Alligator mississippiensis: one gene and its partners. The protein of the gene in region 1 interacts with the protein of each later gene in a pairwise test. Links are inferred from orthologs where the notes say so. Each region holds a gene or a part of one and is shown in the gene's direction. Other genes may lie near its edges. The genes, in order: ITSN2, LARP6 and SYNJ2.

The links.
Region 2: the proteins of ITSN2 (region 1) and LARP6 interact in a two-hybrid assay, tested with the Homo sapiens proteins (2 studies listed by BioGRID, with this or other methods). The link is inferred for Alligator mississippiensis from reciprocal best matches to the Homo sapiens genes ITSN2 and LARP6.
Region 3: the proteins of ITSN2 (region 1) and SYNJ2 interact in a two-hybrid assay, tested with the Homo sapiens proteins (2 studies listed by BioGRID and IntAct). The link is inferred for Alligator mississippiensis from reciprocal best matches to the Homo sapiens genes ITSN2 and SYNJ2.

The regions. Positions count from the first base shown.
Region 1 is NC_081824.1:15,603,110-15,610,456, forward strand, and holds the start of ITSN2 (intersectin-2), read left to right. Parts: upstream 1-4,290; 5' UTR 4,291-4,357; exon of another isoform or gene 4,358-4,379; intron 4,380-4,423; exon of another isoform or gene 4,424-4,542; intron 4,543-6,699; exon of another isoform or gene 6,700-7,347. Other genes in the region: intron Large complex component GCFC2, read right to left, coding at 3,765-4,041.
Region 2 is NC_081834.1:36,752,636-36,760,207, reverse strand, and holds the start of LARP6 (la-related protein 6), read left to right. Parts: upstream 1-4,481; 5' UTR 4,482-4,652; coding exon 4,653-4,924; intron 4,925-7,572. UniProt on the Homo sapiens protein: Regulates the coordinated translation of type I collagen alpha-1 and alpha-2 mRNAs, CO1A1 and CO1A2. Stabilizes mRNAs through high-affinity binding of a stem-loop structure in their 5' UTR.
Region 3 is NC_081824.1:136,179,713-136,186,915, forward strand, and holds the start of SYNJ2 (synaptojanin-2), read left to right. Parts: upstream 1-4,154; 5' UTR 4,155-4,202; coding exon 4,203-4,323; intron 4,324-7,203. UniProt on the Homo sapiens protein: Inositol 5-phosphatase which may be involved in distinct membrane trafficking and signal transduction pathways. May mediate the inhibitory effect of Rac1 on endocytosis.

The DNA.
Region 1 (7,347 bases):
ACCCTGCTGGGTTTAGATGGTGTGGTGGGGCTGCCTGTGGTCTCCAGGAAATGCTACACCTGTGCCTCTCCAGTGCAAGGTACCATATAGCCTCAGCCCCCACCACCTGGTGGGTAACCCCATAGAGGGAACAGATTAGGGATCCAGGCATGTCAACAGACACTTGAGGCCTAACAGGTATAAAGCCCAGAAGCCCCAGTGAGAGGGCAGAATTGTGGCCCCAGTGAGGGGGTGGAGTGAAAGCTGGAGGCCACGTGGAGTAGGGCCCATGGGGGCCTGAAGGACTGCGCATAGGTCAGCCAGAGTAGTGGCCCCAGTGAGGGGGGCAGAAAAGGCCAAGGTACATCTGAGGACACCTGAGGCCAATTGTGGGCTGGAGGCCAAGTGCAGCCCAGCAAAGGGGCCAGGGGAGTTGGAAGTCATTTTAGATGCCATCTGTGAGGCATGAGACATGGTGTAGGAATGGTTCAGAGTCATGTATTACGCCCTTGGCATCAGGACACAAAAGGGGCAGCCTCCTGCCTAAAAACAACTATTTAATTCCAACAAAGCCGTGGCAGAAAAGTCGGGTGGGTGGGCCAACTATGAGGCTGGCCTCGCTCCCTGTCACACTTGTGAATACTGCAATTCCAAATCACATCCTAAGTCACAAGCACAGCAGATATGAGAACATAGAACATAAGAACTGCTATTTCCTGAGTCAGAGAATGGGACCATTTTGCCCAGTGCCCCGTGTCCAAAGAGGGGTGCCACCACTTTCCCCTGGCTGCTGCTGGGCCAGGAATCAGAAGGAGCCCTGCTGAGCTGCTGTAGGCTCCTGCTATTCTTACCACCACTGTGTGTGGACCTACAGCCCACCATCACCACCCAGGTGCCTGAACTGTCTCCCCCAGCCCCAATCAAAGCCACCCTTGCCACAGACTCCAGCATATCTTACAACCTCCAGCACATCCTGCAACCCCAGTACAGACAGGAGAGAAGCAGGGTCCCCACCAAAAACCCTGAGGGAGATGCTGCACAGACCCACCGCCAGCTGTCCTGCTACCCCTTGTGCTACCCCCTTCCCCACCACAAGGGGCTGTATCTCCCCCTCTCCTGGTGTTGGGGGACGTAGTGCACTGGGTGGTTCAGGCAGTGCTCTGCTGGACCTTTGCCCCCACAGGGGCAGAGGAGGAGGAAACGCCTGTCCCACCAGGCCAGTCTCCAGAGATGGATGCTGGGATTCTTCTGGCTGGAACAGCACTGGGTCTCTGCAGATGTCCTGAGCCTCCCCTTGTGGGACAGCAGACAGGGCCTGGTCTGCCTCTGCATCCAGGTCCACAACTTCTGCCTTCAGGCCTTGGAGAGGCTCCTGTACAGTGCCAGTAGCCAGGCAATGTGGTGTAGTCTATGCCCTTCATTTGGTAAGTAACCCCAGACTGTTAAACGCTATGTCAAGGCCTAAAGTCTTTTGGAAAAAAAAACTGCTTTTTGCTGCTGCCTCTACAAACGCAGTAATCTTCAAATAACCCTTTTAGGATTTGAAACAAGACTAACGGTTAACTATAGGCAACATTAAGTACTAACTCAGACAGAATATGTCTGGACTTAACCACAATAAGGAAGAGAGAGGAAAACATAGAAAACAAATTATATCACAGTTAAGATTAATCATAGACTAACACAGGAATCAGCAACCTCCAGCACATATGCCAGAGCATGGCACGCAAGGCCATATTGCTCAGCATACCACAGATGGCCTGGGCTCTGGGCAGATGCTTCTGGCCACGGAGCCTGGGCTGTTCACAGCAGGCGGCTGAGAAGCTGCAAGCTGTGTTGCATGCAGCCCATGCTCCGTGGCAGGCAGCAATTGCCTAGAGCCTAGGCTGCCTATGGCAGGTAGCTGGGAGGCTGCAAACAGCTGCACCGGGCTCCTTAGCAGCCACAGCTGCACACGTGTCTCTGGGTGTAGGGTCAGGAAGGGGCTGCAGAATGCATGGATGGGAAAGAGCTGGGGTTGCTGAGGCACAGCTGCCACTGAGCCCATCCATACTCAAGACCAGTACAGCTTGTTTGCAGCCTCCCAGGTGCCAGCCACAGGTGACCCAGGCTCTAGGCAGCTGCAGCAGGCAGCTAGGAGGTTGCAAACAACTGCACCAAGCTCCAGAGTTCCAGCACTGGCTCTGTGGCAGTGGTGGCAGCTGCACACATGCCTCAGAGCACATGGTAGAGAAGCGGCCTGGGGCAGCACAGGCAGCAGGCAGGCTGCCAACAGCTGCATAGCTTCCCTGCCATACTAAGTCCCCACTCCCTTCTACCTGTCTTGCCACCTTCCGGGGCATGATGCCACTTCTCTTTCTCCCATTCCCTCACCAGACTGCTCCTCGCCCCAAGCTAAAGGATAACTCGTACAGCATTACCAATTATCAGTATGTGAATGGTTAAGTGTTCACATCTCTATTTGCCACAGCCTAAAATATTTTCAAATGAGGTCCAGCAAAAGAAAGTTTGAGAACCCTTGCACTACTTAAACTGGTTAAGAGGCCTATATGTACTTAGTCATGGATAGCAAAAACCCAAGTTGGATACTTGAACGTTTCAGCCAGCGTGGAGAGAATTGTATGGTTTTGTGCAGAAAGGGGATCATGTTGTTTGTGGCCTGTGTAGTAAAAGAGTGGTATCTTGTACTTTCAGCATCCAGTGCCATTTCACAACCAAGCACTAAGCCAAATTTTCTGGAGTCAATGAAGCAGACAAATTTGAGTGCATCAGACAAGCTACTGATTCGCTTGAAAAAAACAGACCCCCAGCTTTTCTAAGTTTGTAACTAAACGTGCTCTTTCCACACAGCCAAGTTACATTGCAGCTGTAGCTATAGCTAGGAAGGGCGAGTGCTTACAGACAGAGAGGACTTAAAGAAAGCTTTCTGAAACAATGCCGAGGAACTGTTTCACGATTTTGTGAATAACGAAGCCATGAAGAAACGCCATCGGCAGCCAGGACAGCTCAAAAAGGCGCCCATGAGTTCCACCCTGAAGTTACAGGCTGAGAGAGAAAGAACTGCCTTTCATTACTTTTAATCTCACCACCTGGCGTCATTCTGTGACCCTTACTTCTTGTATTGTGAGACAGTCAATAACAAACCCCTAGCGACTTTCTCTGCGTTGTTTCGCATTTTGTAAACTCTTAATGTTGCCCTTCAAACCCCTCTTTTCTAAACTCAGTCAAGCTTGGCCTCTTCCTCCCTCCTCACACAAGCCCTCCACACCACCGATCGTCCTCGCCACCTTTCTCTGCGCCGTCTCTAGCTTTCCTATACCCTTTGTGAGGTGCAGGGACCAGACCTGGGCACATTTTTCAAGGTGCGGATGCACCACGGATGTCTAAGGGGGCATTTCCCGCGATACTTTCCGTCGCGTGGAGTCAGGCAGTCATTGGTACGCAGCAGACACTTGGCATGGGACGAGCAAGCATGAGGCCAAACCTTATGTCGGACCCACAGGCCTCCTCGCCCGCTCCCTCTGCCCGGCCCCTGGGGTTGAGATGCACATTCAACCGAAAGCTGGCTGGAAACCACCTCCGGAGCCGCTACACATTTCCAAGCACTAATTCTGTTGCCACCCGGCTCTTGGGGGAGCAGGACAGACGTGGTTATCACCCGACTTGGCCCGTGGGGCCAGTCCATGTGAACTGTGCGCTCCACCAGCAACTTACGCCATGCGGGTAAGGTGCAGAGGGGCCAAGCCCGGACGCCTGCGGGGCGAGTGGGGGAGGGGGGGCTCTACCTTCTCGCTCCTCGTCGCTCCCGAAGCTGAGCAGGTCCCTGCCCCCCCGCGCCTGCCGGGCCCCGCCTTCGCCTCCGTCCTCCGCCGCCTCTTGGCCCCTCGCGCTCACCGTCGGCGCTTCCGGGAGCCGCGGGGGACCGGGACCGGGGTCGGGGCTGACAGGGCCCTGCCGCTGCCGCTCCTCCCCCCCCTCGACGCCGGGACCCGGCTCCTCCTCGCTGCTGGCGGACTGCACCCGGCGGCGACCCCGGAAGTGACGCGGACGCCGGCGGAACATTCTGTCCGGTACCGGTCACGCAGGCCCCGGTAGAACGCCGACGCCCAATGCGCATGCGCGCCGCAGCCCGGCTAGCTGAGGAAATGGTGTCGACCAATCACCTGTTGCTGGCTCCGCCCCGTGGGTGTCACAAGGGAAGTGGGCGGGGCAGAAGAGGGTGCTGGCCAATGAGGATGAAGTGTCTTTAACCCTCCCCTGGCTGGGACGAAGTGGGGTGCGGAGCTGGGGAGTTTTGAGTGCTGTCGCTGCGGGGCGGCGCTGGTGGAGGAGCGCGCTCGGCGCGGGCGGTCTTTCCTGGAGGACCACGGGGGAGCAGGTGCGGGTCGCTGCCTTCTCTGGTAAAGCAAGCGGGACCCGTGCAAACTAAGTACGGTAGCACGTGTCTTCTCCTCGTCGTTGTTGTCTCTGGCTCAGAGCTGGGGGGCTGGAGCCCCGGGGAGAGCCGCCTGCCTGCCTGCCCGCCTCCGGCTTCAGAGGATTTGCTGCGGAGTAAAACCCGGGGTTAGTTGCACCACAGCAGTGGTGGGAGGTGTCTGCGCCCTTCCTCCTTGCTGGGACGCTGGCACTTGTATGCGCTTCAGGTCTTCGTAGGATGCATTTGGTAGCCCGAGACGGAAAGAAATGCAAAAATCTAGAGCTCTTAGTTCAGAGATGAGACCTGTTATTAGACCAACGAGAAAATCGCAGACACAATTCATCTTTTTTCTGCGAGCTTTCGGGTGGGGCAAAATTAATCTTTTTCTGCGAGCAAGGACAGCCCCAAAAATAAACGTCAAATGCCCTTTGTCGGCCTCTGGGAAAATTAAAGATAGTGAAAATTCCCAATAGGTAGGAAATAAACTTCACTTTTGCACAGACAGAGGGTGCGGAAGATGGAAATCTGTCCCTCTGGATCTATGAGCGTGTCTTTGTGAGTTGTTCTGAGTTGCTCTTGGTTGTGTAGATCAGGTACGATTCCTTCCCTGGAGGTGTCAGATGGCAAGCAGGGAGTTTAGAAATCTTTCTCATTGTTAAATGAAGTTTAAAATCCAAAACTGACTAAAATTCAAGTCTTCATAGGCAGGCAAGGTTCTTTGGGTAGATGTGTGATACCTTTTACTAAACCAACTAAATAGTTGGGAAAATTGTTTTCAGGCACAAACACCCTTCTTCAGCCTAGGGAGTCTGGTGGTATGATGTGTGCTGTCCTGGGTAGAATAGAAGCCAATTTGCAAAATTCAGGTTTGTGAAAATGCAAATGCGTGGCAGTGAGGATCAGAGGGAATGGGGGACAATAGGTGTGAGACTGGTAAGTTGTGGGGAAGGAGGATGTTGATCTGGTGATAGAACGGAGCTGGTAAAATGCAGACAGGTTACCTGGGGTTATCGGATGGCAGGCAGGTTATAATGTGTGGTAAATCCAATGTCTGTATTAAGTGCATGATTTTTTTTTTTTTTGTATCCAGTAGATTGATGAAGTGAAGTTTGTAGACTTGCCTTTAAGGATTAGAACCGAGAGATGGGAGAGAGAGCGGTTGTCTTGTGAGAAGTGGGCACCCTTGAGTAATTGGGTAATTAAGTCTTCATAGAGTCACAGAAAACTAGGGCTGGCTGAAGCAGGATGATCCCTATCCGAGCCACACTATACAATAACTCTGTGTAAGACTACCATCAGCCCTGACACCGCATAGACCTAACACCCTAGCATGCTACTGGTAACACAAGGGAATCACAGCAAAGAGTGTCCTGCTGCTTTTCTTGTAAATATGGGCTCAGGAGATCCCAGGCAAACGTTTCTGCAGTTGTTTCTTTCTGGCTACTTAAATTCAATAGTAAGGCAACCTCTCTTATCCACTAGACAGCAATTTATGACCTGCATACAAGCTGTGGGTCATGGTGAGGAAGTCTTTCCATACAGCTGGAATCAATTTCTGCTTATCAATATCTTTGTTTATTCCTCACTATTAAATTGTTTAAGCCAGGGGTGCTCAACTCCTGGCCTGTGAGCCAGATCCAGCCCACAGATCTATGTAATCCAGCCAGAAGGGCTCCCTAAGTGGGGAAGTGGTGGTATCATTAATTGTTCACCCCCTGCTGCTAAATTTTCAGACCCATGTGGCGCTCCGTGTGCCAGATAACATGGCCCTGTGCACCAGATCATGCTAGATCACACCAGTGCGCAATTGGATCCAGGCATGTGGGGATCAAGCTGGTGTGCTGGATCCCACATGCCAACCCTGCATGGGACCTGGCCGGCATGCTGACCGTGCCACACATCCAGCCCGCTATAAGGTTGGTGCCCCTAGTTTAAGAACATGACTGAAGGGATTTGGCTATCATTAATCCAAGATACTATCTGGTCACGGAAAAGGTATGGGTTTTGGACCGGAAGAGCAAATCACTGGTTTCTAGCATGTCTGGACAAGCACCAATACTGCAGAGGAAGTGAGCCAAACTATGAAGTACACCAGAGGCATTAGATAATTTTGTTCCTTCTGCTCCTTCAAAGAATGGACAATTTTATCTATGATCTGTTCAGCTGACAGTAGGGATTTACACCTATCACCTTTCAGAACATTGTGCTGCCTATAACTGGGATTTGCTGACTGACTGCAGGCAGCGAGCCAACTAAATTTCAAAGGGAAGGCACTGAAGACTTGAAAAATATGAAAGATCTGGTTGTTTTAAGTATTTCTAGAGCCTTTATTTTCATAATATCTAGGCATATTTTGTTGTTCTCTCTACAGAGAAGCATTAGCTCAGCTGGAGATAATGTAGTAAGAATAGAAAAAGAATCTGTGATCATTGTAAACAGTATTTAATACTCCTCCCTTCCTGCTCCCTCCACTCTCCCCAAGTCTTTCATCTTAATTAGTCTCTTCTCAATCTTGGTTTCTGTATCTACAGTCATCCTGTATCTATGTCTGGAACAATCTCCTTGTTATTCAGCTGGTCTCTCCCCCTTCCCATCGTCCTTCCTACCTGCTCATTAGTCACCTCTTTGCCTTGAAATGCAGTCTAGAAACCTTATTGTATTTTCTTTCTGTGATTATAAACTCTGTGGGATAGGTGCTATTACTTGACTGGCTTGTAAAATTGAATTATAAGGATACATGCCACAACTAATAATAAGTGTCACTCATTTGTGTGTTAGGCCAAGATAGAAACAGTTATTTAGATTTTTTTTTTTTTAAGTGCAGGATAGTGGTGTACAGGTCTGGGGCAAACCCTGGGGGGGCATGCACAGTTGCAAATGTGTGGATTCTGAGAGCTGGGGAGGGTGAGACAGCATGCAGATCCACCTTCTCTACCTGTTGCTGGCTTTCT
Region 2 (7,572 bases), on another chromosome or scaffold:
AGAAGCCCAGGCAGGCCTCCGCAGTGCCACGTCAACTCGGAGCTCCGGATGGGGCCCGATCCGGCCGGCGAGGCCAGGCGAGAGTTCCAGGAGCCTGGCCACAAATCCGGCTTCATCCCAGTAAAGTGCTCCGTTGCCAGGCAGGCGGGGGGCAACTTGAAGGGTCCCAGCAAGCACAGAATCTCCCAGAGTCAAAAAACCCCACCACGCTGCAAAGTTGCTGCACAGGGAATGCTTGTATGTGTGGTGTGTGGTGCTGCAGATGGGTCTGCACTGCCATATACCACACATCTGTTCTCATCTGGATGCGCCCAAGGAGGGTGCATGGCTAACTGGTAGCATGCCTGCCAAAAAGGTTGGCTTCCATTGAACTACAGGACTGAGACAGAGAAAAGCAGCAGAAAACCAAAGGGATAGCCAAAACAACTACTCGTTACAGATCTCTGAGAAAACTGATGAGAGAGCTTTTGGACTAAGCGCTGAGTGGAAAACGTCTTAGATCTCTGCACAAAGTAATTTCCATCTTCTATTTGATTCAAGGAAACAGAACTTCTTTATTCTTTGAAAATAAACAGAATTGCATCAACAAAGTACTTGACTTTATCTGTTTTTCCTCCTAAGCTAAAAACCTGCTAGCCCTTGAATGTGAAATAACCACTTTGTTCCAAAAAAAAGGATAATATTGAACCTATTATAAAGTTTAATATTTTAGCATGATATTCTTTTCTGGGAGTGGAGGTGTTTTTTGGCTTTTTTTTTTTTCAGTCCAAGCTACAGTATTTCGAAGAGAGTTATAAACTACTTTGACATTCAACCCACACAAAGGCACTCTATTGTACCAAACTCAGATACAATAGAGGAGTGCATGATGCAGATTTGATGATCTGCTCAGGTCCCTTCCAACCCTACCAACTATGAAACTATGCAAAGCCCTCAGTACCACTAAAATTGCATAGCAGGTCCATGTAAAAATCATCACAGAAAAGGGCCATTTAATAAGGTGTCTTCGGGTCTTTGGGGTGAGTGTGGTCATGGAATCACCTCGGTGGCTCTGGTTAGGATTGTACAAAGGCAAAGGTAAAGGTTTTCTGAATAAGGCAGCATTCAGAAGATCAAAGCTCAGTTTCTAATTGCCAGCAACATTACATGTGACTTTAGAAAAGTCACTTAATCTGTCTGTGTCTCAGCTTTCCTTCTATCATATCTTACAACAGTAACACAAGCATTAATCCATAAATGTTTGGGAGACAGTTGTATTTTGGTTAGGAAGCCACAGAAGCACCTAGGCACACAGATTGGAGACAGTTTGGAAGGAGGAGCTATTGGATCTCATAGCCCAAATATCCCACCTATGGGATCCTACTTAAACCAACATATGAAAGATTAGGCCAGTGCCTGGGAAACCACTTGTAGAGGGGCCTGCCTAAAGACTAGGATGAATTCCACCATGCTACCTCCCCAACGCAGTATCACAATGCCCAGTTATAGCCTTGTATCAGAAGGGGTGGCTTTTAGCCGTAATAGACCCAGAATCAAATAGGGAAATCATGAACTGAAGTCTGTTTTTTGGGGAGCACAAAAATGTATATATCATAGATAACTCAGACAATAAACTATAGTGGGAAAGTTTACCCAAATGAGATTCTTACAGTTTGACCTTGGGTGGGGGCCAGAGACTTATGCTGGACAGATGCTGTCCTCTAAGGACTTGTCTATATTACCCTTACCTGGAGATTCTCCCACCTTGGCAAACACTGGTTAACTTCTACTGGTAGCAGCGCAGTTCCTACTGGCACTGGCATCAATGCAGTATTTAAAATGGCTTTGGCTCACACCTACACTAAATCTTCCAATATTACAATATTTCTGGAGCAGAACTGGTAGTAGCAACAGCAGGCACATTTAGAGAAATGTAGCCAAATGGAGATAAGGCCTAACGTTATACTATGCAATGAGCACCAACAGATTACAGGTGGTCCGACTTACAACTGGAGAACATCTGTCAAATTTCTTTGGACACTTTCTTTAACAAAGCAGACAAGACTCCAGAGAAAGCTGCAGCCAAGACTGACAAGACTCCAGCCAAGAGCCCTTCAAAAAGTCCAACCAAGAGCCCTTCAAAAAGTCCAGCAAAGAAGTCCTTCCAAATCAATGATTGCTATTTACAATATAAATACATTAATGTAGCCATATTTCTCATCTATAATTTATCAAGTGCAAAGTTCTGGGGTATTTTTGGTGAAAATAGGTTATCGGGCATTGGTTCAGGAACCAATCCCCCATTTATAACATTGTTTCTTATGAGAAAATTGGTTCCAACTTACAACTTTTCAACTTAAGACGTGGTTTTCAGGAAACAATTGTGTTCTAAGTCCGAGGACTGCCTGTGGCATTCTGCTAGCTGACAAAGACCTCTAGTTAGTTGCATAGCAGGGCAAGTAAGTCATCTCTGTAAAGAACCTCTCTAAGCACCAGATAAGCTAAAAAAATACAAAAATACAAAAAATCAACCCATCATAGCAGAGCTGTATTTGTGTTCTGTTTTGATGGTGACAGACCTGCCTGCAGAAAACTTTTGAAGTGCTAAAAACTAAATCCAGCCCCCCCGCCTGTCTCTCACCCATTGACTCCTCAATCCACATTTTCACTGACCACCTGTCTTGTATGCATACCAGCCCGACCTCTGGCTTCTTTACTTTTCATTCCATCCAGCAAGAGCACACACCAACTGCTGAAACTTCCTTAGCCTGACGAAGGGTTTTTGAACCCGAAAGCTTGCTTAAATTTTTCTTTTCCAACTACTTAAGTTGGTCTAATAAAAGATATCAGATTCACCCAAAGAACCTTGTCTCCAAAAATAAAAAATGAAGTCCAATGGACATGTCTGCTAATTCAGATTTTTAATATTGAATATTATTGAAATTGTTCAATAATATTGAAAAATGAAAACTTTCCATTGAAAATACTGAGCAGATGCACTTAAGTGAAGACAATTTTCCCCATAAAGTTGAAGGCGCTGAGGAGGCCACTACAACATAAGGACTAACCCAAAATATGGACTGAAGTAATAATTACAAATTCATCTCCTACCTTGTGATCCACATGTGAACAGTAATGAAAGAGGCCTCTCTCAAGGCTCTTCCCAAATTAAGGAATAAGGACTCACATAGTAAATGTTGTCCTGATCCTCTAAATGTTATGCATGTTTCGCTTTTATGCATGGAAACAATGCCGTGAAATCTGATGACTGAAAGTTATCACATGCAGGAGGGCTCTTCAGGGGCTATATGTTTCTTGTGTGTGTCTGTAAAGTACCACATAGTTCTATGTTGTATCATCATTAAATTATAAATGTGTGCATTCAAGTCTTTGTCTATTCATGTTTCTTAGCCTCAGCTGTTGAATTAAAATTTTACATTTACATAGGGCTCTATGAGAATGCAAACCCATCAAGTGTCTTTCTGATAAGTCTTTGTTTTCTAAAATGAAGAATGAACAGAAATTCACTTTTAAAGAAAAGGAAAATCCTACCATTTAGTGTTGCCAAGTTAATGTTCTTAATTTGCTCGGATGTAGTCCTGAAATAAGAGAGCACAGTGAGGTGTCCCTGGATTCCAGGCATCTCACTGGGGTGCTGATTCTGAACCCTAACAACTACTTCAAAAACAACCTGGTTAGCCTGTTTGCTGGTTTTTGCGGGTAACTGAGTAAAGGACCACCTCTGTGCCTGCCCTCCTCCAGGTCCCTCCCAAACTGCCTCCAATGCCTGGTATTTACTGAACAACTTGAATGATGGGTTGTCCTTGGCCTGCCCCCAACACCAGTCACCGCTGGGACTGGCCAGGAGGCTTGGGAAGCTATAGGACAAACTCCCCCCCTGGTCAGCCTGGAGCGAGATCCACCCCAGCAGCCGCGTCCCCTCTTCTCAGCCTTCTGACTAAGATCAATGGGGGGCACCCGAATCCCAAGACCTCTGGGCTTGCAGTAGGATGCGTGCCAATGGATCTGGGAATATCTGAAATCCCAGGGTGAGAACCTGGGACATCAGATGCTCACTGGTTGTAGCCAGACGTGGCGGTTAGCCCCGTGGTGATGTGTAGGGGGTGCACATGCACCTCCTGACCGCCGGCCTGGCCCTGCTCAATCAACGTGGTTTGGGGAAGATTGAGTTCTTGTCGGTCTTGTGCTTTGGCCGAGGAACCCTTTGCTGGGGTTATTTCACCCCTGCAGTCTTCCCTGCCCGGAGCAGGGGCTGGACCCGATGATCTCACGAGGTCCCTTCCAGCCCTAAACTCCAGTACAGCTGTGAATCGGATTTGACCTGGAACACGAAATATGTGAAGACTAATAACGTTGAAATAGCCCTGCCTGAAACCGGGCGTGAGCGCCTCTCCGTGGCTGGGGCGGGGGGACCCGACCCCACCCCTTGCCCCTGGTCCCGGCCCGCAGGATAGAGGCGGGCGGGCTGTGCTGGCGCCTGGCGGCGCTGCCCCCTCCCGCTCGCGCTGCCCCCCGCGGAGCGCGCAGGCTGGGGGCGGGGAGCTGCAGGCGGGCGGGGAGCGGGCGCCGCGGCGGCGGGTGCAGCGGGGCCGGGGACGCCGCTCGCCGGGCTCCGGCGGCTGGTGGCAGCGCGGTCCCCGCCGCCCGGCCCCATGGCCGCGCCGCGCCCGGGCGGCGCCGTGGCGGAGGAGCCCGAGGCCGGCAGCCCCGCGCCGGGGCGGCAGGAGGCCGTCGGGGCGGGCGCGGAGCAGGCGGGGGCCGGCCCGGTGCGGATCCGGGTGGCCATCGAGGCGGCAGAGGAGGAGGAGGAGCAGGAGGAGGAGGGCGACGGCGCGGCCCTGGCCCTGGCCCTGGCCCCGACGCCGGGCTCCCTGGGCGGCGGCAGCTGCAGCGAGGACGACTCGGGCAGACACGGGAAGTCGAGGTAGGGGCCGGGCGGGGATGCGCCGGCTCCTTGCCCGCGGCAGGGAGCTGGGCCGGCCGCCCCTGGCTCGCCTGCTGACCTGGCAGCGCGGGGGCGGCCCCGCCGGGGAGGAGCGCGGCGCCGGGGCCAGGCGACGTCGGCCGCGGGGGAGCCGGCGCCTCCCTCCCTGCTTCCCCTCGGCATCCGCCGCCGCGGGGCGCTCGGCTGGGCGCTGCTCTGCCCCGAGGGGCTGGGCCGGGCCGGGCCGGGCAGCCTGGAGCCTCGTGCCCTCGTCGCCGACCCTGAGGTCCCGGCCCACCTGCCCGCACGGACAGCGCTGCCTGCCTATCTCCAGGCCTGGGGCCAGCTGCTTTGGGGCGCTGTTTGCAGCGGCAACAGCGTTCATTAGTACCCACTGGGCCTTACACAGCCCAGTGGATCCATGAATCCGAGGCCTCAATGCAGTTCAATCCAATGGCTCGACTTCAGAGCCAAAGTGTGGCCATGGGCCGGGGCCTTCCTGCCCAGAACCGGTGCCGGACACGGCCCCCTCTCCAAGCCTTCTGGGCTGGAGGCCAACGGCTCGGGGCTGGCTGCAGCTTGCTGCGCTGTCTGACACAAAGCCAAGGCCATGCTGGGTCGCGCACCCTGAGGCACGGGCGTGTTCCTGCAATAGAAACGTTCACCAGCCTTGTCCTATTCTGGGGATTGTGGCAGATAATGTAAACCTGCTGCTGTAACAACCTGACTGCTTTCAGGAGGCGTTTATTCTGTGCCCATTGTTACACGTAGTGGAGGAACCTTGTAGAGCTTATTGATCCATTACTGTGCTTTTAAAGGTGTGGGAGTCGAAGCCAGTGGGGGTCGATTTGCACCTTGGAGTCTAACTAAATTAAGAAGTGTAGAGCATAAGCTTTTTGTGTGCCTGAGCTCACTTCAACAGATGCTATGAAAGGAGTGTATGAAAGGAGTGTACACAAAGCGGTGTATAGACTGGAGAGGAGAGTGATTTGAATGCAAGGGACTGGGAAGAGAAAGGCAAACAAACAGTAAACCCATCCAGACAAAGGGCATGGGATAAGAATCTCTAATCCCTGTTTCAGACCATACTTAACACTTAGAGGGGCTGCCTGTGAACCAGGAAAAGTTTGTCCCCTCATGACTACTTTGAAAGTTTGTCCTTTTCCAGTTTGTGGATGCTGTTCCACAGTTTCCCATTCAAGTTCATTTGTAAAGTGTGTAGCTGCTCCCAGACAGCAAAGGAGGTCAGAGGGAATCTCCAGGGAGGCTGAAGCTTTCTGCCACTAGGTTGGGTGTCTCTAGATCTGAAGTCAGATTGGTGTTTGTTAGGGATGCATCAATAGAGATTTTGGGAGCTGATACCAATAGCTGATTTTTTTTTTAAGAGGTATATTGGCCAATACGAATCCGATTTCTGATACAGTGTGCAGCTGCTAAGTCTGATGTGGTGGAAGGGGAGTGGGGAGGGAAGGGGAGCAGATCAATGCCCCCCGCAGTGAGGGAGGGAGTGGGACAGGGTCTATGGCAAGCACTGCCCAACCGGGGTAGGGTGGGGCAGGGTGGGGCAGGCATCGGATGGAGCCACGGCTCATCCAGGGGACACAGGGGCTCCCACAGCTGTGCCACCCCAGGAGGGCATGGGGGGGTGCCCCTGGGTCTGCGCTGAGTGGGGCAGGCAGGCTGCAACGCGGGCTGGAGCCAGGAATGCACCAGGCTCTTCTCAGCGGGGCCTGGGCTTGGGGCGAGCAGTGACAGCACTAGGGGGGAGGCTATGGAGGGGCTGCAGCCACCCCAAATTTCACTGTAGCCCCCCCCAGTGCCCCACTTCCCAGCACCACTTCTGCTTACCTTGAGCCCAGCCTCTGCAGAGAAGAGCCCCACCCCACGCAGATCTGGGGGCACATGCGCCCTCCCCCTGCGTCCACTAGACAAGCCATGGCTCTCCTGTGCCCCATCCCATCCCGGCTGCAGTGGTGTACTGACAGGGGAACTAGGGGGGAGGCATGGCCCCTGGGCACAGGGCTGCAGGGGGTACCGACAGGCCACAAAACCGGAAGCAGTGGCAGTGGCGTGGGAAGCAGTTCCGATTTTGCCCCCCCGCCTCCAATTCGCTGAGATTGGATGCTGCTGGCGGTGTCTGCGGGCAGTCGCCAATCACTGCTCGGGGCGCCCCCCCTGCTCTCGACCCTGCCGCTGGAATCTGCAGGGGGTGACCAGGCGGGGGGCATGTAAGCATTGGCCCCTCAGTACCCGAGACCCTCGTTACGCCACTGCAAGGTTGGGCAGTGTCTGCCCTGCCCTATTCCCTCCCTTCCTCACCACGGGGAGCATTGATCTGCCCCGCCATGCCCCTTCCCTCCCCTTCCACCACAACAGACTTACCAGTTGCACACAGCTCTTCAGTTGCTCTCTGCCTGTGTGCTGTGCTGCAGCTGTGCACATGCATGGGCGTTTATCAGCCGCTTTAGGCCAATTTCCAATGCAGCCAATTTTCTTTATATCAGTGCCCATGAACAACGCGTGCCCCTGTCAGCTGGGGGGGGCACAGCAGTGGCAGGAGCATGGCGGCAGTAAGCAGAGAGTTCCTGCAGATGCCGCCAGTGCTGTCGGCGGTTGGGGGGGGGGAAGGCGAGCACTGACCAGGGATT
Region 3 (7,203 bases), about 120 Mb from region 1:
TTCCTGCCATGGCAGGGAGTCGGACTTGATGATCTACTCAGGTCCCTTCTGACCCTACCAACTATGAAACTATAAGGGGCCTCAATCTGCACCCCCCCCCCTTTCTGCCTGGATATGCCTTTTCCTCATAAACTTACCTACAGGGAGCTGCTCTCCAGGCTGCCTGGCTATGTTCCTGGCTATGTGCATGTGTGCAGGCACATGCATGCACGTGGCACCCCTGCGTCCTGCTCCTGGCAACCCCAATCAGCCCCTTGTAGGCTGAAACCCTGCCAGCCTGCAAAATGAAACCCGCCATTTCCTGCAGATCCCTGTATGACACTGAAAATCCAGGATAAATGCTGTCCCAAAGTCGTGCAGCCTGGGACCAGGACTTGAGGTTCCCATTCCAGGACTAATTGCTGCCCAATTAGAGACAGATGGTCATCCTACTGCTACTTGTTCCTCCATCAAATCTGGATGAGGCCCATAAGAAGCCCCATGGTCTGGATCCAGCCAGCGAGGAGGCATGAATTTGACACTCCTGCTCTGAAATATCTACTACTTGCCACTTGCCAATACTGGGAAATAGGATATTTAATCTGATGGACCACTGGTCTGATCTGGGATGGTACTTCTATGCTCATGGCAGCCACCATGAAGCACAGAGTACCTTTCATGGACAAACTTTTTTCCATTATCGAAAAAACACATGAGGTTCTAATATTAAAAAGAACATAGCCCTTAAGTGAGAGAATGTGTTAAAGGAGGACTTCTCAGACAGGCAGTTTGTTCTATGTCACCAACCCAGAAAAGTCACAAGGACATCATTTTTTAAAGTTTGCAGAAAGTGTTTAATTTTATTACAGTATGCTAAATGTTTCTAATCTCCCACTTTCCCTCACCTCTGACAAGCCATTTATATCTTGTTCCCTGCACCTAAGTTGCTGTGCTTAAAAGAAAGTTTATCATAGGCAGCCCTGTTCCCTGCTAGGTGAATATTTTGTTTGACAATTCAAGCACTGAGCTCTCTATTAATTATCCTGACTCTTGTATTTATGTCTTTAGTGTCTTTTGCTGCAAATTACAAGTACAAATGAATTATATGCACAGAAAGTACAGAATCATTGAGATGGCTTTGTCCTCCAAGTGACAGTAAGCTCTGATGATGCATTAGAAAAACTTATCATGAGCACAAGGTGCTACAGCAATCATTCTTCAAAAGGCAACAGATGCTCAAAAGAGGGATTTGGATATTTTTATATGTAAGTGAATGACACACCACCAGATTCGCAGGGGAGAATGTTACCATAAACCAACCCTTCTCAAGTCATCTCTCCAGTACTGGCTGCATTAGACAACCCTGGGCTTACTAGTGTAGGACTCCTGCCACTTAATCTCAGCTAGGTATTTTCTTCTAGGGAAAGAGGAACCCCTGCAGTTTTCACCCCCCTGTGGTGTAACACATAGCCGTGACATGCGTTTTGCTTTCAAGAATTTGGGGTGCAGTTCCCCCATAGCCCTGCACCGATCTTCTTGAAACTTGGCAGGCTTCATGCTCTCATCAGAGGCTATCACCCCTGCAAGTTTCATCCAAATAAAACAAAAAACAACAAAGTTATAGATATTTCCTTGATTCCCCGTTATACCTTACAGCCGGATCTCCGAAGCGGCTCCAAAGCTTTTCCAAAGCAGTTCGGAAGCTCTGAACCACGTCAGAAAGCCTAACGAAGCCAGCGCTTTGATCCGAACATGCTGCTTTGGACACCAAAGCGTCTGAAGCTTCTCTGGATCTGAAGCACGGTCCAAAGCCTCACACAGCCCTAATCCCTGTCCTGCCTCCATGTCTATAGGAAACTCATTGTAACCGGTATGTCCTTGTTCTGATTAGGATGTGAAATGTTTACATTATTCTCTGTGGGGGGGTTTATATCCATTGAAAAACAAATGTTGAGCTTACTCTTATGCCTTCTTCTCCTGTTATCATTTGAATACTTTTCTAGGTGATTTCTTCTAGGTTCTCTCTCCCTGACTTTCCACACTGTCCCATATTGATCTGAATCAAAGTGCCAAATATATGCACTGACACACTTTCCTGCCACAAACCCCTTTATCATTTCTTCTGTTTTAAAAGCATCATAAACTTGAAAAAAAAATCACATTTTTCTGCCCTTTGAAAAGCTTTTGCTACTAGGAATATTATAGATTCTGGAAACAGATTCACAGAGAGCATACAAATCTGTTTTCCTGAGAGTTGTTTACTTTGAGCTTTCTGAAGCAGGAACTGTGCTATATGTATGTCTGTACACTGCCTAGCCTGATATAACCTTGGACGATGTCCCTTGGCAGTGTGCAAGACAAACAACATCACAACAACAATAATAGGAAATATTCAGGGTATTTTGTGTTTTTCTCTGTCCACTTAGCAAATTAGGGTTCATCCCCAGTACAGCCACAACTGTGATTGTGTAGCTAGCTAAAGTCATGTTCACTCTAACTAATTAGAAGTATTTGCATCTGAGATGCAGCTTTTCTGCCATCAGAGCTGTATTCGCTCATCCACATCTACCTTGCTATTGTGCCCCAAGGAAAACCTCCCCACACAAGAAATTCCTGCCCAGAAGAGCATTCCATCTTTTACTCTTCTGTGAAATATGAAACACTATAACCAGAAGGAAATATGGCTACATCCTGCTTGATCCCAAACAACTTTGAAGTAAACAGACTCTTCCAACTTTTCTCTGAGCCTAACCTACATAAAATGAACTGTGCCAAACAGGAGATTTTATCACACCTTTAACTCTCCTATGAAATATGAACTTTAATTTCTAACTAGGAGAACTTTTACAATCTTTTCTCCTATGCCTGAAGAAGGGTGCTTGTGCCTGAAAGCTTGCAATTAAAGGCATGGGTTTTTTTGCAAAAATCTAGTTGGTCTAATAAAAGATATCACCTCTACAATGAGTTCTCATTCCTTTTATCTCTAGACCACTACAGCTACAGCCTAGAAACCTGACCCAAGAAAAATCTAGCATTTGCCTCAGTAGCGACTTGGGGAAAGCTGGTTCCTGGCTATTGATAAAGGTGAGAGGTGTATTAATTATAAAATAACTTATATGTACACAGCTCCTTTCAGCTGAAAGCATTTCTCAAAGTGAGGGCCAGCTCCAGTTGGCAAAACTCTCAGTGAAGTCAGCAGGAACTTTGATTAAGCAAGGAACAGCTGTACCTCATCAGTGAACTATAGCCACCCTGAGGAGGAGTGTGGGAGCTTTTTAAGGGGGCTACATGACTATTCAAGATTGGAAGTGAGACAGAACATTGATGAAGGGAGAGGAAGATTTGTGAGGGGAGGTCACATCTTTTTGCAGTCTCTCCTACCTCTCCTAGCAACTGGTCCATAAAAGGCTATGACCTCACCTTACCTATCTCCATTCTCTAACTGGATTGCCACGTGCACCCCCTACACATCGCCAATGCTTCATTGCATAGGCCTGAACACCCCTCTCTCCTTTCTAACAGCCTTGATGTTCCACTAATCGATCTATTTTTTCTTCTGCCACCCTGCTGTCCCTCAGCTGCTGCCTCACTGCCCTGCAGACTCTGCTTAACTCATTAAAAACAGTAACACAGGGATGGAAATAATTTGGGAAATGATTGGAAATGAGCTGCCTCACTTCCCAGAGCCTGATGAAAGGCCTTTGAGCCTGAAGACTTGCAGAAAAGGATATTTTTTTGCCATTGCCCAGTTGGTCTAATGAAAGGTCCCATTTCAGAACCGGGAGTTCTCGATTTGTGCATTTCATACATCCTGAGCACTGTTACTCCGGGTTCGAATCACACTTTGCCTCTTGCCGGGGGTCTGCAAAGAAAATTAGGTAGCCCATTAGATAGATGCCCATATAAAATCAGAGACCCCCCCACCCCTCCAGGTAATTTTCTTTTAAACCTTACAGGGGGGCTTTGGTTTCTTGTGGGAGGCTCAACCCTTTCTTTTACTGTTAGGGATCCTACATCCTAGAAGGGGTGAAGGGAAAGTCGGAAAGTGACCATGGCCGTCCACCTGGCAGCCTGGAGCTCCCCTCAGGCGCGGGGCGGGGCGGGGCGGGGCGAGGCGAGGGGCGGCTCTGCCCCGCGGGAGGCGGAGCTGCGGGACAAAGTCAATTCAGGGAAGTTTGCGGGCGGGGAGCGGCTGGCGGGGCCGGGCCGGGCCGGGCCGGAGCATGGCTCTGAGCAAGGGGCTGCGGCTGCTGTGGAAGCGGGAGCCGGTGCCCAGCGCCCTGCTGGAGGCGCGGAGCCGCCCCGACTGCCTGCTGCTGGAGGCCGGCACGCTGGCCGCGCTGGGTGAGGCGCCGGGCGCGGGCCCCCTGAGGCGAGGGCGGGAGGACGGGGAAAGGGAGAGCGGGTGCAGCCCGCCGCCAGTGGGGCTGGGAGCGGAAAGCGGAGCAGCAGAGCAGGCAGGGAGAATGGGTGGGGAGCAGAGGAGCAGACCGGCCAGGGAGTACAGGGGCGGGGGCGGAGCAGTAGGTAGGGTAGGAAGAAGAAAGCGGAGCAGCAGGGCAAGCAAGGAGAATAGTGGTGGGAGCAGAGCAGCAAACGGTGGGGAGCGGAAAGCAGAGGAGCAGATGGGTCAGGGAGAACAGGGGTGGGAGCAAAGCAGCAGATGGGGAGGGGAGTAGACAGCAGAGCAGGAGACCAGGCGGGGAGAACAGGGATGAGAGCAGAGCAGCAAATAGGGAGGGGAGCAGAAAGTAGCGGAGTGGGCTGGCCAGGGAGAACAGGCCCGAGAGCAGAAAGCAAAGGTGCAGACTGGCCAGGGATCGCTGGGGTTGGGGCAAAGCAGCAGATAGGGCAGGGAGTAGAGAGCAGAGCAGCAGACCAAGCAGGAAGAAGAGGGGTGGGAGTAGAGCAGCAGGTAGGGCAGGGAGCAGAAGGCAGAACAGCAGATCAGGAGGGAGCACAGAGGTGGGAGTAAAAAGCCGAACAGCAGATCATGCAGGGAGCACAGGCATAGAAGCAGAGAGCAAAGCAACAGATTGGACAGGGAGTACAGGGCTGGGGAACAGAAAGAGCAGGGCAGGGAGCTGGAAGCAAAGCAGGAGGTCGGGTAGAGAGCAGAGTAGCAGGTCAGGCAGGGAAGTGGATCAGAGCGGAGCTCAAGGAGGATGCAGGGCCTGTTTGTGGCACACCTGCCAGAAAAGGCTGCCCAAAGCAGTGGTTGCCCTGGGGCTTGGTAGAAAATCCCTCATGGTAGGACGGCACTGCTGCACCTGTGCTTGACTTCTTCATTTCTGTGGCTTTCTCTCCTCCATTGTGGCTGCAGCCTCAGCCAGGAGTGGGAGAGCTGTTGTGAGGCCTACCTGCAGATGGACCATCTTGCCTTCTGTGCAGGGCTACCGCTGCTGGGAGACTTCAAGGGGAAGAAAAAAATAAAAAATATTTTCCAAAATAAAGGGCCTGAGTCCTGGTGTACACTGGGGAGGTAGGCTTTATGAAGCTGTATGTGGAGATGCTCCAGTACCAGCTGAAAGCAGAGTTTACTTAGCCTGGTGGGATTTGTTTTGGTACAGTACATTGACAAACAGCGGTGTATCTCTAGTTGCATCATACGTTGTTGCAACAGTGTGAGTCTGCTTCATGTGGACAGGCCCTCAGTCTCATCTAGAGGTAGAGCAGCAATGAACACATCTGTACTTAAGTTCTATGTATGTTAAATGTCAAAGCTTACATTAAAGCCTACATTAAGGGTGAAAACTGGTCACAAAAAAATCATTGAACACTTGGAGAGTTAAGTTGCGTTACTAACTTTAACATAGCCTTGATGCACAAATGTTGGATTTTGTTTACTATCTTGGTTATTACACTGTTACTAGTAGTTAGACTTATAAGTGTGTAAGAGTTGTTTAGTCTGTCCATGCCAGGAATATAGGCATATTTGGAGTCCACTGTCTTCAGTGTGATTCTGCCTGGGCATTGCAGGCAGTCTGCAGATTCAGAGCAGCTCAGAGGAAGGGGACCTTAAATTTTAAAATCTTTAGAGTAAGAACTGTGTGTATTTTGTGCTTTCTGCAGCCTCAGTGGCATTTTCAGCATTTGAAAAATAATAGCCTGATTTTACTGTTGTATTAATTCTTCAGTCTAAGAGGATTGGTAATGCTGATTACCCATGAATAACTGATTATCAGCAGTTATCCACTTATGCTTTTCATGACAGGTATTTTTCATGTCATATGGACAGCCAGTAAAGGATGATCTTCAATATTTATAATGAAGAATATATGTATGTGTATGTATTATATGTATATGTATATATGTGCATACTGTATACATTATATATTATATATGTAATATACACTCAGATTGTTATTTATATCCTGAATCCAAATTGTTGGCACTCTGGCTTGTTACTAGACAATTCTGTGTTTGTACAAAAAATGCTTAATGTATAAAATCTTACTACAAAAATTCAGTGCGCTTGCTATATATGAATTATGTGATTATGAACAAAAATAATAAAAGATTTTTGCTTTGCACACTTATACCTGCTCATTGCCAAAATAGAAGAGAATAGTGCAAAATTGGAAAGTTGATCCTCTCTGTCTCTTGAGATGAGGAAAACTGAAGTGTCAGATGCTTTTATGAGCATCAGCTGGTTTGAGAGGTCATGTGACAAGCACCTTTTCAGCTAATTATCAGGAACAAATTCCATTATGATTTAGTTGCATGTACATTTGGAAATCCCTGTGTTTAAATGATGAATTAGCGAAAGTGTTTTGTGCCAAATCGAAGGGGCTATAGCAGCGCTTCTTACTAATAGGACTGTAGTGATAGATTTCACTGTACATATAAGCAACCACACAGTGTCTGGAGTGTGACTAAGTTTATGTTGCAGCCATTAAGAGTTTTAACATTATATGTAACAAACAGAGCTGATTGAGAAAAGAAAAATAATCTTTTGAAAATTTTGACTTTTTAGTTGTATAATGTTTCAGAAGAAAATGAAAAATATTTAGATTTTGAAATACTGCTGAAGTCCCTTCTGAGAGTTGTAGTTTGACTTAAAATTATGCTCCCATTCTGCTTAGTAATGGTGAAGGGAATTCCCAGTTAGATTGTATCTCCCAAAATGTGCCAGGGTCTCCAGTGTTTTGGTAAAGATGTGATGTATCTTGAGATGTGTCTTGGGAGATAAATTAAAATTGAAGTTAGGCTTACTAAGGAAAA